2 linked regions of the Pelodiscus sinensis genome follow. The protein of the gene in region 1 binds, or shares a complex with, the protein of each later gene. Links are inferred from orthologs where the notes say so. Each region holds a gene or a part of one and is shown in the gene's direction. Other genes may lie near its edges.

Region 1 (8,097 bases):
TCAGGAACACATCACCCACCCCAGTCTGTCAGTGCCCGTGCTGCCAACTTTGGCCTAGCTCCATCATGCAGATCCTGCAGCTGTGAAAAAGGATGCTAAGAATTAATTTAGTTTCTCACAATGATCTTCTCATCCTTGAGTGCTCCTTCAGCATCTCGATCATCCAGTAGCCTCGCTGATTGTTTAGCAGGCTGACATACTTCAAATAATTGCTATTAGTGTTTGTGGTTTTGGCTAGCTGTTCTTTAAATTTATTTGGCCTTCCGGATTATATTTTTACACTTCATTTAAGAGAGTTTAGGCGCCTTCCAATTTTCTTCACTACAATTTCACTTTCACTTTTTATCTCTCACTGTTTCTTTTACTTGATTGTTAAGCGTGGCACTTTTTTGTTCTGGTTTTTTTTTTTTTTTTTTTTTTTTTTGGTTAATTTGGAGTTTACATTTAAGTTGAGCTTCTATTATGAACTTTGAAAAGTTTCCATGCATCTTACATGGATTTCACTTATGGCACTGTAGCTTTTAATTTCTGTTTAACTAACCTCATTTTTGTGTAATTCCTTTTTCTGAAATTAAATGCCACAGTATTTGGGCTGTTACGATGTTTTTCCTGACACAGGAAAGTTTTTTTTAATATATATATTCTAGTCGCTATTTCAAAGAAATCCAGCTATTTTCACCTCCTGGACCAGATCTTGTGCTCCACTTAGGACAAAATCAAGTATTGCTTCTCCTCTTGTAGGTTTCAAAACCAGCCGCTCCAAGTAGCAGTCATTTAAGTTGTCAAGAAACTTTATCCCTTTATTGCATCCTGAGGTGAGGTGTACCTAGTCAATATGGGGATAATTGAAATCCCTCATTATTATTGAGGTTTTTTATTTTTATAGCCTCTCAGATCTCCCTTAGCATTTCATAGTCAATACCACCATCCTGGTCAGGTGGCAAGGTAATATATCCCTACTGCTATGCTCACAGTATTAGAGTGTGGAATTACTTTCCATAGAAAATGAGTTTGGTTCATTTACGATTTTTACTTCATTTGATTCTATGCATTCTTTCACATACAGTGCCACTCCTCTACCAGCACAATCTGTTCTGTTGTTCTGATATATTTTGTTCCCTGGCAGTACTGTATCCCATTGATTATTCTCATTCCACAAGTTTCTGTGATGCCTAATATATCAATATCTTCCTTTAATGTGAGGGACTCCAGTTCACCCATCTTATTATTTAGACTTCCAGTGTTTGTACAGAAGCATTTTTAAAATGTCACTATGTAGCTGTCCACCATTACATGATGTAATTGAATGGGACTCTTTTCAGTTGACCGTTTCTAATCAGATCTTACCCATATTTTATCATCTTCCATCCTCTCCTCTTTCTTAGGACATAGAGAATCTCTATTAACAGACCTTCCCTTAAAGGGATGTCTCTGTCGGATCCATGTGATCCTATGCACCTGTAGGCTTTCCCCCAACCCTTCATGTCAAGAAGGAAGCAAACTATCAAACAAAAACACTGTGCAACCCCTCCTCTTACAAATTCCCACCCAGATTTCTCTGTTTTCTGTGCTATTTGCTGGCTCCTGAGCTGCTACTGCACCCAGGAAGCAGTGCACTTGGCAAAGGACTTCTGGTCAGCAGCAATTGCAAACACAGCGCACTCACTGGCTGTGTCTAGACTGGCAAGTTGTCTAGACTGGCCGCTTGATTTTGCGCAAAAGCACTGACGTTCTGCTGTCCGAAATCAGTGCTTCTTGCGCAAATGCTTTGATGTTCCCGTTCGGGCAAACGCCATTTTCCGGAAATGCTTTTGCACAAAACGGCCAGTGTAGACAGCTGAAAACTGTTTTGCGCAAAAAAGCCCCGATGGCGAAAATGGCGATTGGGGCTTTCTTGCGCAAAACCACGTCTAGATTGGCACGGACGCTTTTCCACAAAAAGTGCTTTTGCAGAAAAGCGTTCGTGCCATCTAGACTCTCTTTTCCGCAAATGCTTTTAACGGAAAAACTTTTCCGTTAAAAGCATTTGCGGAAAATCTTGCCAGTCTAGACGTAGCCGCTGTGTATGCAGCTCAGCACTCAGAATAAAAGCAAGGGTTCAGTGACAAGCCGCTGTACTTGAACAAGGTGAGTTGCTTCCATTTCTTGGGAGTTGATTGGCTACCTTTGGAGTGGAGAGGAACAGGACACTCTCTCATGGGATTGAGAGAAATCACTGAGGGTATGTCTACACTACCCCGCTAGTTCGAACTAGCGGGGTAATGTATGCATACCACACTTGCTAATGAAGCCCGGGATTTGAATTTCCCGGGCTTCATTAGCATAAGCGGGGAGCCGCCATTTTTAAATCCCCGCTGCTTCGAACCCCGTGTAGCGCGGCTACACGGGGCTCGAACTAGGTAGTTCGGACTAGGGTGCCTATTCCGAACTACCGGTACACCTCGTTTCACGAGGAGTAACGGTAGTTCGGAATAGGACCCTAGTCCGAACTACCTAGTTCGAGCCCCGTGTAGCCGCGCTACACGGGGTTCGAAGCAGCGGGGATTTAAAAATGGCGGCTCCCCGCTTATGCTAATGAAGCCCGGGAAATTCAAATCCCGGGCTTCATTAGCAAGTGCGGTATGCATACATTACCCCGCTAGTTCGAACTAGCGGGGTAGTGTAGACATACCCTGATGGACTCTCAGGGTATGTCTACACTACCCTGCTAGTTCGAACTAGCGGGGTAATGTATGCATACCGAACTTGCTAATGAAGCCCGGGATTTGAATTTCCCGGGCTTCATTAGCATAAAGCTGGCTCCGCCATTTTTAAAAGCCGGCTAGTGCAAACCCCGTGCCGCGCGGTGTACAGATAGTTCGGAATAACTACGTAGTTCGAACTATCTAGCCCGTGCCGCGTGTAGCCGTGCGGCACGGGGTTCGCACTAGCCGGCTTTTAAAAATGGCAGAGCCAGCTTTATGCTAATGAAGCCCGGGAAATTCAAATCCCGGGCTTCATTAGCAAGTTCGGTATGCATACATTACCCCGCTAGTTCGAACTAGCGGGGTAGTGTAGACATACCCCCTGGGAATCCAAGCTGTGTCTATGCTGCAAAATGATGACATTTGGGCCTGAATCCTAGTGGGACCTGGGCTTGAATGCTTCACCTCTGCAGAGTCTTAGGGTACAGCTACACTGCACAGATGATTGAAGCTGCTGTTGTTGATCTTCCAGAGCTAATTAAGACAGATAATTCAAACTGTGAGGGACGCTCCAATTGATACTGGTAATCCTGCTTTCAAGAGGAAAAGGGAAGTGGAAGGAATAGTGTTCTTCCTTTGACTGCCTGCAGCGTAGACAGCTCCAAAAGTTGAGTTAAGCTACTTGGACTTCAGCTATGCAATTAACATATCTGAAGTTGGGTATCTTACTTTGACTTTGTCCCGTAGTGTAGATGTACCCTTTGGGTCCAGGCTAAGTCTGACAGAATTGTGTGTAGACAGAAGGGAGGATGTTGGATTCAAGCCTGAGCTTCTACTGTAGTGTAAACATTTCCTAACTAGCGTAACTAGAGAAAAGTTAAGAATGCCCAAGAGCTGTTTGGGACACAGGAATGTGAATGTTGAACCACTTAACTGGTAAAGTGGGATGTAATAGTGTAGTCGATTAACCGCTATAGACTACACGCATTTCCTACCACTTGCCAGTACATTTTTTAGCAGGCTGGCCTGCAGCCCAGCTCATTCCTGGTTTATGCCGGATTAGGGACCCACCCCCACTGCGGCTCTGCTTTTCAAGTGTATTAGGAGCCAGGCCGCCCGGCTCAGTTCCAGGAGCTGAGCCCCCCCAGTCCCTCAGACAGCCGGTCCATGAGGGGAGCTGGTTCAGGACAGACCAGCTCCCGCCTGGCGCCTGCGAGCAGCGTCCCGTGACGGGGGTTCACCCCTGGCTCCGAGCAGGGGCGGGTTCGATCCAACATGCCAAGTCCTGCTCCCCTGGGGTGTCCGGCTCCCGGGATGCAGAAGCACGAGGAGCCCCAAACCCTCTGGGTGCCCGAGGGGGGCGGGGGAGGGGAGCGAGGTTAATGAATGAACGGGGGGGGGCAGCCCCCCCCATCACTCCCGCCTCCTCCCGCGCCCAGCAGGGAGCAGGAGAGTTAAAGCAGCCAGCTTCTCTGCGCGGGGAGGGGGGGGGGGCGCGACGCTCCCGTCGCTCTAATTCGCGGCACATCTGTCAATCTCCCCGCGAGCCCGCCCCCGGGTCCCGGCCTGAGCCCCCCTCAGGGGGCCACGTGGGGGCGGGTTTGAGGCGCAGAAGCGGGCAGGGCCAAGGGGGCGGGGCCCAGGAGGCGGGCTCGTGGGGGCGGAGTTCGGGCCGAAGCGGAAGGCTCAGGGGACGGGCCCCGTGAGGGGGCGGGGCCAAGGCCTTAGTGTGAGCGCGTGGGGTTCACGGGGCGGGGCCAGTGCCCAGAGGGCGGGGCTCGGCGAAGGGCGGGGCTGGGGCCTAGGCGCGCGGCTCAGGGAGCGGGGTCAGAGCTGGGGGCGGGGCTCCTTGAAGAGAGGAGGGGGCTCGGGCCGAGGCGCACGGCTCAGGGGGCGGGGCCGGAGCTGGGGGCGGGGCTCGTTGCGACGAGGCGCACGGCTCAGGGGGCGGGGCCGGAGCTGGGGGCGGGGCTCGTTGCGGAGAGGCGCGCGGCTCAGGGGGCGGGGCCAGTGCCCACAGGGCGGGGCTCGGTCAAGGGCGAGGCGCACGGCTCAGGGGGCGGGGCCGGGGCCGGGGCCGGGGCCGGAGCTGGGGGCGGGGCTCGTTGCGGAGAGGCGCGCGGCTCAGGGGGCGGGGCTCGTTGCGGAGGGGCGCGCGGCTCAGGGGGCGGGGCCGGCCGGGCCGCGCGGGACTCGCCCAGGGCGCCGCCGCGGGTTGCTGGTAAACAGGCGCGCGAGCCGATGTCCGGGCGCGGCGCGTTCCCGCTCAGCCCCCTGCCGCCCGCCGCCGCGCCCCCCCCCGCCGCGGGGCCCGGCCTCATGCGGGGCCCAGGCCCGGCCGCCGCGGGGCCCGCCGGATACCGGGCCATGGGGCCCGCCGCCGCGGCGTACCAGGTGCGGGCCGTGGGGGGGCTGAGGGAGGGGAGGGGAAGGAGGTTTCTGGGGGGGCTGAGGGCACTGGGGGGTGGGGGAGGGGAGGAGGATGCTGGGGGGCTGGGGGTGGGGGAGGGGAGGTTTCGGGGGGCTCAGGGCACTGGGGGGTGGGGGAGGGGAGGGGAAGGAGGTTTCTGGGGGGGCTGAGGGCACTGGGGGGAGGGGAGGGGAGGAGGATGCTGGGGGTGTGGGGGGGAGGTTTCGGGGGGCTCAGGGCACTGGGGGGTGGGGGAGGGGAGGAGGATATTTAGAGGGGCTGAGGTCATGGGGGTGGGGGGGAGGTTACTTAGGGTTGCCGGGGGCTCAGCACCGAGGGACCATTTGTGATGTGGGGAGGGTGGGGGGGGACCCAGGGAAAGTGTCCAGTGGTGTTGGATGAGGGAAGTGGGGGGACCTGCTGTGGGCAAGTCTCCCAGAACAGTCCCTGGCCAGATACCATCTCCCGGCCTGTCCAGTGTACACCGCAGCCCTCCCTTGGGGATTGAAGCCCCCCCAAGGGAGGAAATTATTGCCAGTCCCATGCCCTGGGGGAGGGGGCTCTCTAGCTGGAGTGCTGCTGCTGCTCCCGGATGGGGCAGTGTGTCCCAGCTCTGGGGCAGCCTCTCTGGTAACTAGGGATGTTAAAATACTGTATGTTTATTCTGGTAAATGTGTAATCACTGAATATTTCAGTAGTTACATGGAGTGCTGGCTCCCCTTGAACACCGGATCCCACCTCCCCCCACTTCTCCCCGCAGCAGCACAGACAGGGCAGGGCCTGTGTGTAACCATGCACATAAACCCATGAGCCCAGGCTCATCAGTTAGCCATGTACACACATGCTCATCCCTGCTGGTAACTAGGTCTCTCACTGTTAGAACCGCAGTCCTTAAACCACGGAGGCACCAGGTATTCAATCTGACACTCAGCTTCACAAAGTGGCCATCTGCCTCTGGTTCCAGGTGTGCTCACAATGTGTGGCCCTACCCAGAGCACTAAGTTACACGGGGTCATGGCAGCATAGTTTGCATTTAAAAACAAATGCCATGCTCCTCATGCCAGGCACAGATGGATAAACGGAGTCATGGACGCAGCATTTGGTTCTCACAGCTGCCAGGGTCTAGTTAAAATAATGTGCAGCAGTAACCTAGGCTCAAGTAGACAGTGGTTATGCTGTTCTGCTTCTCCATTCTAGCTCGTTCCCCATAATGCAATTTAGAAAAAGTAGGGAAAGAGGCCTAATATGTCAACTGAAGAAGAGTCTGGAAAATTGTTCCCTAAGATTTGCCAGTTAGGTGGATTTACCAGAGGGCTGGATGTTGTCATTCCATTTACTAGTTTAAAAAAATGGTAGTACCAGTACAGCTTGTGGCACCATATTCTCCGAAGCAGTAGGGAACTTAGGAGAGAGATGAGACAGGGACTCATGGGAACAAGCTCATGCTTAATTTCCTTTTTCTGAATTTGGCTGAGATCCTTTTCAGATTGCTCCTGGTAGGAGCTGTCACTGGGTAGGTGGAGGGGGTTGAGAGACTGTTTTGGAGAAGATGAAATGGAGATGGTGGATTCTACTTGAAAAGTGACTGGATTAGATTGACTAGAAGCTTGGTGGTTTTTATGGTGCCTAAAATAGCAGTGTGTGTGTTTGGGGGGAGGGTTTCCTGCAAGAGAGTCATTAGAAAACAACAGGACAAGAGACAGATTCCTAATCAATTCTTTTCTTTGCACTTTTGGGGCCCCAATTGGTTCCCTGTACAAGAGTCTGGTAACTTCTAGGTTCTGTCTGCATTGCAGCTGGGAGCATGCTTAAGCTAGTGTACAGAAACTAGCTGTGGCCTAGGTGGTGATACAGGCTAGCCACTCAGATACAGACCCAGGGAGCTGGCCAAGCTTTTGCTCAAGGGGCTAGCCTATGGTGTAGCGTCCACACAGGTACTTCTGGTGTGCGAAGCTAGCACATGTCTGTGTACCCAGGCTGGGAGGCACACTTCCAGCTGCAGTGCAGACGTGCTTGCAGGCTGTTCGGTGTCTGTTGGCAGAGGGGTGGGATGGAGAACTAGGGTTGCTTTTCCTGAGGCGGGTGGGTGGGTGGGGGTGTGTGAGAGAGAGAGATACTGTAGTATTAGCTGTAGTACTCAATAGGAATGCTCTTGAATCCAGCCAACACTTATTTTTGTTTCTCCTACAAACTAATTGCATCAAACAGCTGTCTGCTTTCCCAGGTTCTAAGAGGGGGAGACACTGCGGGCTTGATTTGGCTATTCAGCAGCCCATTGGTGCTTCCTCTTCTAAGGTGGTGAGTTATGGACACACAATAGGTCATCACATAGCCCCTCTGCACCCTGTGGTGGGTGTTACAATCTGCTTTAGAAAAGGCTGGCCTGAGTTGCTTGGCTAAGGTTGGATGGCAGGCTGTCCTTGCCCAGTTTCCAAAAAATGCTATGGAAACTAACACATAACACCCTTGGTTCCGGGATTAACATCTCCTGAAGATGGTAACTGTTTGCAGTGCAGGATGATATTACAGGCTCTGTATTGTTAACTGAGAAATGTATTCTGTTCAAATCTTGTAGCATGTGATCAGGATGTTAAAGAAACTTTGTCTAGCTGCTGTTGCAGGCTTATCCCCTATTCAGCCTCTGTTTACGCCTTCTTTTTCCTGGTTCTGCATGGCTTTTAGCCACTTAAAGTCCATTAAAACGTTAGCAGATGACGCTGACTCACTTGTGGAGTTACTGTGCAAACACTCTGTCAGCATAGGATGGTGGCCTAGTTCTTCTGTAAACAGCCAGCAGGAACTGCTGCAGATGACTCCATATCAGGGGCAGCTCTAAGATTCACTTAGGATTCATGGGACAGTCATTCTGTTTGTGTGAAAACCAAGACAGCTAAGTGTGAACCACGTCGGGCAAAGATGGTGTTTTCTGCTGAAGCTTCTCTGTATTCCATTTCCCCTTTTGCAGAGTTGTGTCTCATTCATGCGTCTGTTTTGCAGGTAGAA
Region 2 (8,348 bases), on another chromosome or scaffold:
CCTTTTAAACGTCCGAACGCACATTCCACCTGGTTGCGAGCCCGGTTAAGGTGAGCATTAAACTGCTCCTTGCTCGCATCCAGGTGGCCGGTGTAGGGCTTCATCAGCCACGGCATCAGGGGGTAGGCGGCATCAGCCACTATGCACACCGGCATGTGCACATCCCCAACCGCAAAGTTGTGATGCGGGAAAAATGTTCCTGCCTGAAGCCTCCGGTAGAGGTACGAGTTCCTGAAGATGTGGGCATCATGTGCCTGCCCTGACCACCCAACACAAATGTCAGAAAACTGGCCACGATGGTCGACCAGGGCCTGGAGGACCATAGAAAAGTAGCCCTTTCTGTTAATGAATTGGGCTGCTCGATGGGGTGGTGCACGGATTGGAATGTGTGTCCCATCGAGCGCTCCTCCACAATTCGGGAAGCCAAGGGCAGCAAAGCCAGCCATGACGCTGTCCAGATCTGGTAGACAGACGAGCCTGTTCAGCAGCTCCGAATTGATGGCCCTCACCACCTGCAGAAAGAGACAGACAACAAAATGTTAGAAGGGGTGCCTTATCTCTTAGGAGGAGAACCCACCACCCACCTTCCCTCTCAAACACCCCGGGAATCCCCTCCTCAGAACTCCCCCCCCCCAACAATTCAGGGTGAGTGGAGGAGCTCCCTCACACTCCACTTTGCCCTTCCTGACAGTCTCCCTTCCCCCCACCCCAAACTGTGACTGTCCCCAGACAATGACTTACCTCCATCAGGATGGATCCAACAGTAGACCTGCCCACTCCAAATTGGTGTCCCACGGAGCGGTAGCTGTCGGGGGTTGCCAGCTTCCAGAGGGCAATGGCGACCCTCTTTTCCACGGGGATAGCGGGCCGCAGGTGGGTGTCTTGCCGTTGCATAGCAGGGGCGAGCCAGGTACACAGCTCTTGGAAAGTGGTCTTTCTCATCCGGAAGTTGCGTAGCCACTCTTGGTCATCCCAGAGCTGTATAACGAGCCGGTCCCACCAGTCAGAGCTGGTGTCAAGCCTCCAAAAATGCCTGTCCACAAAGAAGTTTGGAGGCAAGGGCAGTGGGGCTACATGACGGACGATCCCTTCGTACCTCTGGTCTGGGTCCAGATGGGGAAGTAGCCTCATGACTGTGTCATGCAGATGCAGCAACACTTGTAGTATGATGGCGTGGGGCCATCGCCTGCCCAGGGGCAGCTCTGGCTCTATGCCGAAAAAACGGGTCTAAAACAGAAAAACCTCCAAACAAAAAACCTGCTGGGGTGTCCCAGGAAGCTGAGCACTCCAAATCAGCACTGCAATGCTTTGCTTACCTCCTAGAGGGACAGCAAAGGCAGCTGCAGAAGCAGAGCAACGGGTGTTCAGGGGCGTCCCTTTAACCACGCGTCTCTGCAAAGGGCAGGCAGCAGCACCCGGAAGGAAATGCTGCCCCCATGCCCTAGCAGAAGCGGTTCCAGGTGGCTTTTAATTTCGAAAGAGCGTCCAGCAGTCAGGACGCTCTTTTTCGAAAAAGCGGATCGATTTTCCGATCCGCGTATTGTAACACGAAATACTTTCGAAAAAGCCTCTTTCGAAAGAGGCTTGCAGTCTAGACATAGCCTTTGGGAAGAGAAAGACAAAACATTTCTGGAGTAGCTTTGTTTAACTTGTTGTTTTTCAGCCAGGGCTATGCATACCTCATTGATTTTCAGGGGTACGCAGACAAAGGTCTTTCAGGGGATACATTCATTCAGCTATATATTTGCCTAGTTTTACAACAGGCTATGTAAAAAGTACTAACAAACTCAATACAAACTAAAATTTCATACCAACAATGACTTGTTTATAGTGCTCTATACACTCAAATTTAAGTACAATATTTATATCCCAATTGATTTATTTTATAATTATATGGTAAAAAGAGAAAGTCAGCAATTTTTCAGTCAAAGATTGCTGTAAGACTTTTTTGTATTTTTATGTATGATTTTATAAGCAAATAGTTTTTAACTGAGGTGAAACTTGGGGATATGCAAGACAAATCAGACTCCTGAAAAGGGTACAGTAAGGTGGAAAGGTTGAGAGACATTTTAATTCAAATAAGAGCTGTCTGAAGTTGCTCAGGGGCTGAGAATGTTACAATAAATTCCATAGAGGTGGACTAGGAAGCACAGTACAACCAAGGCAGTGAAAGGGACACTAAGTTCTTTACTCACATAGTTTTGCAATTTATCCCATGGTTATAAAATGTATCATTATGCTGCAGTTTCTCAGATGTTTATCACCTTCATGCATGTGGTACCCATCAGTATGTAAATATAAATGTTATATAAACAAATCTATGGCCCCCTAGGGATGATTATGACTTTTCTATGTGACAGTTCATGGCCAGTAAGAATCTGTGACAATGGAGATAGAACCAATTTTCTCCTATACTTTGAGCTAAAGGAGAAAGGTTTTATCTTGCTGACAATGACAGAGTTAAGCAATTCTGATGCTATCTAGCATAAGCCATAGGTACCTGAACATACTATCCTGTTAATTTCTCTGAAGGACTATGTCACATATGCATTTACCAACAATTTGCAGTTAGCAGCTGACTTTCTCTATGGCCAAGAGGGAAGTGGCAGACATGAGGTTCCTAAGTCATATCCATTGCCTTCTGGGCCAATATTATATTAAACATTATTATAATGGGCTTTGGACTCTTTGACCCCATTCTTAATTCAGCCCTCTGTTCCAGAAGTGCTGCTGTCTCAAACCTCCTTTGAAACCCAGACATATCACAAAACATTCATACTTCCAACTTACCAAGTTCTGAATGAGTGAAAGCAATGGACCATGATCAGTGTTCCCTCTAAGGTGAATGGCTGCGCACAAAAAATTGTAAGCCTGCCCACCTCCTTTGCAGAGCTGTGCTGCAACACTCACCTTTCTATTGCACGTGGAAGGTGGCTGGCATGGGGCGGTGTGGCAGGTGGGGAGGGGACAGGCCTGCGCCCGGAGTCGCATTGGGGGGCAGATGCTCTGGAGGGCAGGGCTGCATTGGGGGCTGGCTACCACTGGGGACCACGTAGCAGGAAGGTTGCTCCTGCTGGGAGTTGGGACTGCAGGTGGGTGGGTTCCTGCTGCTAGGGGTTGGGGCTGTGGCCATGTGGAGGGCAGAAGCTTTCCATCGGCCCCGGATGGGGCCAGAGCCGGAGGCATGTAGAGGGTGGCAGGCAGGCTGCTCTGGTGGTCCCAGCCAGGGTCAAAGCTGGTGGCACCTAAAAGGCCTCTCTGAGGGTGTTCCTGGAGAAAGACTGGATCTTGCTCCTTCATGTATTGCTGGTGTCACTTTCAAACTCTGGGGGTGGAGTGTTTCCATACCAACTTGGAGCCTCTGTTGAAGGGATTCTTCATTCTAGTTATTAAAACAGAAAAGGGAAAGGTACCAAACAATTGAAATGGTCAGAGTTGAGAACAGATCCTGGATGTTAAGCCCTCTTGCTGAATATGCTTAATGAATGGGTCACTGCCCAAGAGTCTATGCCATAAGCATGTCTGGCACTAAGAGCTGAACTGTGTCTTTTATTGCAGCCTTGAAATGTAGGAGATACTGTGTATTGTGAGCTGGAGGAGAGAAGGTAGGACTATTGCAATTTGCTTTTATCTGTACCCAGCTCTGCTGATGACTTTCTGTATGACTTCTGGCAATTTATTGAATAGTCCGTGTCTCAGTTTCCCTGTCTATAATATAGGGACATTGTGCCTCAAAAGCATTACAGAAAGTTCGGGATGCCTTGTTCATTTAATGTGGGCAAAGTGGAATGAGACTGCCAGTGCAAAGGGGAAACAGTTCTCGGCTACATTGAGTGCCTAATCTTGCCTTAGTAGGTCAAGCTATAGGCTTCCTACCCATTGCCAAATCATGCCACCCCTGCCCTCATCTTAACACCCTCAGGCCCCCTTGGCGGGAGCTGCAAGAAAACAGAAGGGGGACCTTTGAGAGGTACAGAAATGTTGTAAGGCAAAACCTACATTGATGTCTGACAAGAAGAAACTGCTTAAATCTGAGTGTGATCTACCTTCTGCTAGATCAACACTGGTGTAACTTCACTGATTGTGGTGAGGTTCCTTCTGATTTACAGTGGTATGAGAGCAGAATTAGCCACTTCTTGAGTGTCTTAGCTCATGCAGGCTAATTCATTTGCATACTCTTTTTTAATTAGTCGAAGATAAACTCTGACTTCCTGGAGTTAGTGCCTCTCCCAGAAATGGGCATTTAACAGCTGTATCTGTTCCAGGATTCTTGACTCCAAGTCACTCTGCTACCATGAAAGTAAGTGTCATATGAAATGTAGATTAAAATCCTCCCCCCTCCCTCTCTCCATGTTGAAAGATCAGAGGCCCAGGTCTCAACATGTTAGACAGGACAATCACTTCAGAAGTTGCTTTGTGGGAAAAACAGAGAACAGGCAGGCAGGCAGTTTGGCCACTGTGCATTATGTAACCAGTGCACTGGCTGCAGAAGCTGGATGACTGACATTGAGAAATTCCTAGGGGAGGGGGAGAGGGTGCTGCCCTGGAGTCACTGTAAGCACTAGGAGTTCCAAGAAGCCTAAAGGGGAAAGTGGCTTCAGGTAAAGGAAAACACATTGGGAATAATAAAGCTCAAGAATCTACTGCACCAAATGTCAGTACACCTGTAGTTTATTTTCCTGATGAAATGGCATGCATCCAACCCTTGCACATGAATAAGGGGACATGCCATTTGGGAAATGAAAGGCAGGCACAGCAATCCACAAAGACAAGGTATTCACCCTCATTCCTTTCTCTAGATTTCTTGACATTAAAGAGTCAGATAACTCCAAAGAGTCTTCTGTTCCACATCCTAGCCCCCCTCACTCTAGTTCGGTGTAGTGACAGTCCCTAGTGTAACTGCCCCTTTAAGACCTGCTCTCTTCCAGTTCCACAGAAAGGGAGTGACCTCTGGGCTTTGACAGCTCCCCTAATAACTAGCACAGCCCTGGCTCCGCCCCCAGCGCCGGATTGGGCGGCAGGCCGGTATCCCGTCTTCTGATTGGCTGGCCGCTTCCCCTAAGCGAACCTTTAGAACTCTGAGACACAATATTCTGTTACATTGTAGCAAAATGGCGACTGTCATTCACAACCCCCTGAAAGCGTAAGTAGGAATCAAAAATGTACATATTCCGCGTGGTTTAAATATGAAAAAAGGCGCCTTTCCGATGCTGCTGCCAGCCTGAGCCCGGTGCCTCCAGCCTCCCAGCTGATCTCTCCTCCCTCCCTCTTGCCTTTCTGAGCTCCTCTCTTTTTGTGCAACACACACGGGCGTCTTGCACTGAAATTAACAAAAAGAAATTGTTACATTTGGATTGTGATTAATTGGCTGGCCGAGAGGGAGGGAGAGTGGAGCTCTGAAGGGGAGGATGGCAGCGGGGCTTCTGGCAGCTCTCGGGGCTGCGGGGATCTCGGAAACGGCTAGGTCCTGCAGGACCCCTGAGGAGGGGCTTGCACTTGACAGAGTCCTGAGCCTGTTGTCCGGGCTGTCTCCCCCCGCCACCAACTCCGTGTCCACGGGAGAGGGATCGGTCCTGGAAGCCGGGAGCAGAACTGTCTGTGTTGCAGCGCTCCGACAGCAGTTCGGAGTTTTCTTTTGCAAAGCTTCTAGGAGTTGGGATGAGTTGAAAAGGAGGAAAGAATCAGCCACAGCGTTTGCTGGCTCGGGAGCAGAAGGGGCTGCACCGCTCGTTTCCTAGCAGGGCAGCAGGGGCATTGCAATTACACTTCGGTCTGTGTGCGAGGACTGGAGAGCCGGACTTGCGCGGAATGAATGACTCGGGGTCACTGCTGGGTGCTTTTTAGGCAGGAAGTCTAGAGAGCTCGTTGCCTAGGGGAGGTTTTCTCTTTTGAAAGTGGCAACGAGAGTTGATTGTGTTTCCATCTTGGGCTGGACACACTGGTCGCCGAAATCTGCCCGGATGTAAATGAGAAGCCGAATCTGGCCAGCTGTTTGCTGAGAGATACAGGCGCAGAGTATTGGGACAGGTGCCTCTGCTCTAGAAATATGCTGGGTTCTCCGATCTTGTATTAAGGCGGATTTAAGAGAGGCACACAGGAGCTAGGCATTTTTCTCTGGATCAGGTCCCTCATTTCCTTGTGGCCTGCAGCACACACCGTTAATCCCTCTAGGCATTAGGGAGAGGGGGATTTGGCACCGTCTGTGGGGGAGAAAAGGGGCTGTCTCAACCTTTTAAAAATGACTTCTGTGCTAGGGGGCAGCGCTTGCTAATAACACAAGACGCTCACAATGCAAGAAAGCGGCGTACCTGGGGGAGACACTTCATTTGGACTTCCCAGTCACACTGCGTGGGTATTTTATCCGTTTGAGGTCGTAGAGATGTAATTCCGACTCTGAGCTGTGTCTTTTCAATTAAACTTTCCGATTGGAGTTGGGAAACCACTTGGAGGTTTTTCCCGGGGATTCCAGCGGGGTTGTCTCTGTGCTGTGCAGCAATCTGGAGGAAGGGGAGCTGTACGCCGGGAGGGGGTACACGCACAGCTGTCAGATTTGCATCGCTCCTTCTCCATTTTGGCATCAAACGTTTGTCTGCCATTAAATAGCCTTTCATTTAGCAAATGGTAAAAATCGGTCGAGAAGGGGGAAGTGCCCTTAGAACAGGGCTAGCATAGGAGTAGTAGCTGTCTTTTGGGGAGAAAGACAAAACCCGGTGAATATGTGTGTGGAGTATACAATGTGCCACCAATCAGATTCCATATGTTATAGTTGTCCCAGTGAGAACAACTTCTTAACGCGCCTCCCCCCGCATTCTGCAGCTTAAATCAGTTTAATGTTTCAATTAAAAAATAAATCTGAGTTAGATCAGTCCCGTTCATTGCCAGAGTAACTTCCTGAAAGCACCGTAAGTAACTCTCCGGTATACTTTGTCTCTCTACACATATAACACAGCGAGCGAGGGTATCTTTAACTGGACCAACTTCGGTTGGTGAGGGAATGCATTGTCCTAGGGGTCCGTTTGGTGTGGAGCGACATGCCCTGTGTCTGGATGTGACGACGGCACTAGGATTCCTAACAATGGAGGTCGGGGCTGGTTTTCTTTCGGCAGAATCATTCATTTGTTGTGGGAGGCGAGCTTCCTAAAAAGCAGCCGAGGAGTCTCACGTGGCGGGGCGCGGGGCGGGTGCGTGGAGCGCGAAGGGAAACCTGGTTCTGCGCTGGCTGACACGGGTGCAAATGAGGAGTCACTCCACATGGAGTGACGGGGGCGGGAGGAGATTTCAGCGTGGGCTGTCCCTTACCGAACGACACTGTTCTGTTTTGTGTTAGCTTTGTACGTTCTCTAATTGTGGAACATGACACACTCACACCTGTGATTTACTTCTCCCTTACGTACTAAATCCTGCCTAGTTTGGACGGGTAGTTACATTCTTTTGAAGCTCGGCCCTGTTCCTACTGAAGTCAATGGGAGCAGGAGCAGGTCTGTTATAATTAGCCCCCTTTTCCTCCCCCTCCCCCTGGGGTGAGAAGAGAGGAAACAATAGACCTCAAGTGCAGGGTTTGCTTTTCTCTGTGCGCCTTTTTAAGTACCACTGCTGGGTAGGGGAAACAGGACTGTCACTGGCTGTCTGACACCATCTGTCTTTTTTTTTTTTTTTGAACAACTTGTTTAATAAAACATTCTATAATTTCCATTTATTGTTACAAGTTGCTGATCAGGAAACAATACACATGTAAATAAATTATGCAAAGGATAAATTAGAAGCAAAAGCATTAAGACACGTAATAGGGGGGAAAGGATGCTTTGCACAGTGTTTTATCCTCATGTGTCCTTCCTGACAATGAAAGGGAGCTGAATGACATTTGCATTTCCTCTGTCTGCGTTTTGATTGTGTCTCTTAAAAAAAAAAAAAAAAAAGACAGACGCCCCCTACAGAAACTGGCCACACAAAGATTTTGCTCTGAGATGGGGGACAATGTAGCTACTGTAGATTGAAATACTAGCTCAGGTATTGTGAACTGCCCCATGTATTTTTATTTATTTATGTATGTATAATATTCTTTTAGCTCAATTACATAGACACATATGCTGCTCTGTGTATACTATTCTAGTTCTCCTGGAATAATATTTTTCCAGTGCGCCTGAGTATCTTGTGTAAACACATTACATTGCATAGCTCAGGGGTGGGTCCCTTATTAATGACCAGTGCCTCTTTACATTACCATTGCCTCTTTCTCTGTCTAGGTCTCCTTTTTCCTTTGCTTGATCACTTCACATGCTCCCATCTCTTCTGTCTTCCTCAGCCCCCTACTTGCTTCTGTGAGCCAATCAACCTGACATGACTGCCCA

What was found.
Region 2: SMARCD2 (region 1) and DPF3 share a complex: the UniProt entries of both Homo sapiens proteins name them as parts of the BAF complex. The link is inferred for Pelodiscus sinensis from reciprocal best matches to the Homo sapiens genes SMARCD2 and DPF3.

Annotation. Positions count from the first base shown.
Region 1 is NW_027466048.1:881,511-889,607, forward strand, and holds the start of SMARCD2 (SWI/SNF-related matrix-associated actin-dependent regulator of chromatin subfamily D member 2), read left to right. Parts: upstream 1-4,848; 5' UTR 4,849-4,925; coding exon 4,926-5,078; intron 5,079-8,097. UniProt on the Homo sapiens protein: Involved in transcriptional activation and repression of select genes by chromatin remodeling (alteration of DNA-nucleosome topology).
Region 2 is NC_134714.1:68,031,112-68,039,459, forward strand, and holds the start of DPF3 (zinc finger protein DPF3), read left to right. Parts: upstream 1-4,732; 5' UTR 4,733-5,111; coding exon 5,112-5,143; intron 5,144-8,348. UniProt on the Homo sapiens protein: Belongs to the neuron-specific chromatin remodeling complex (nBAF complex).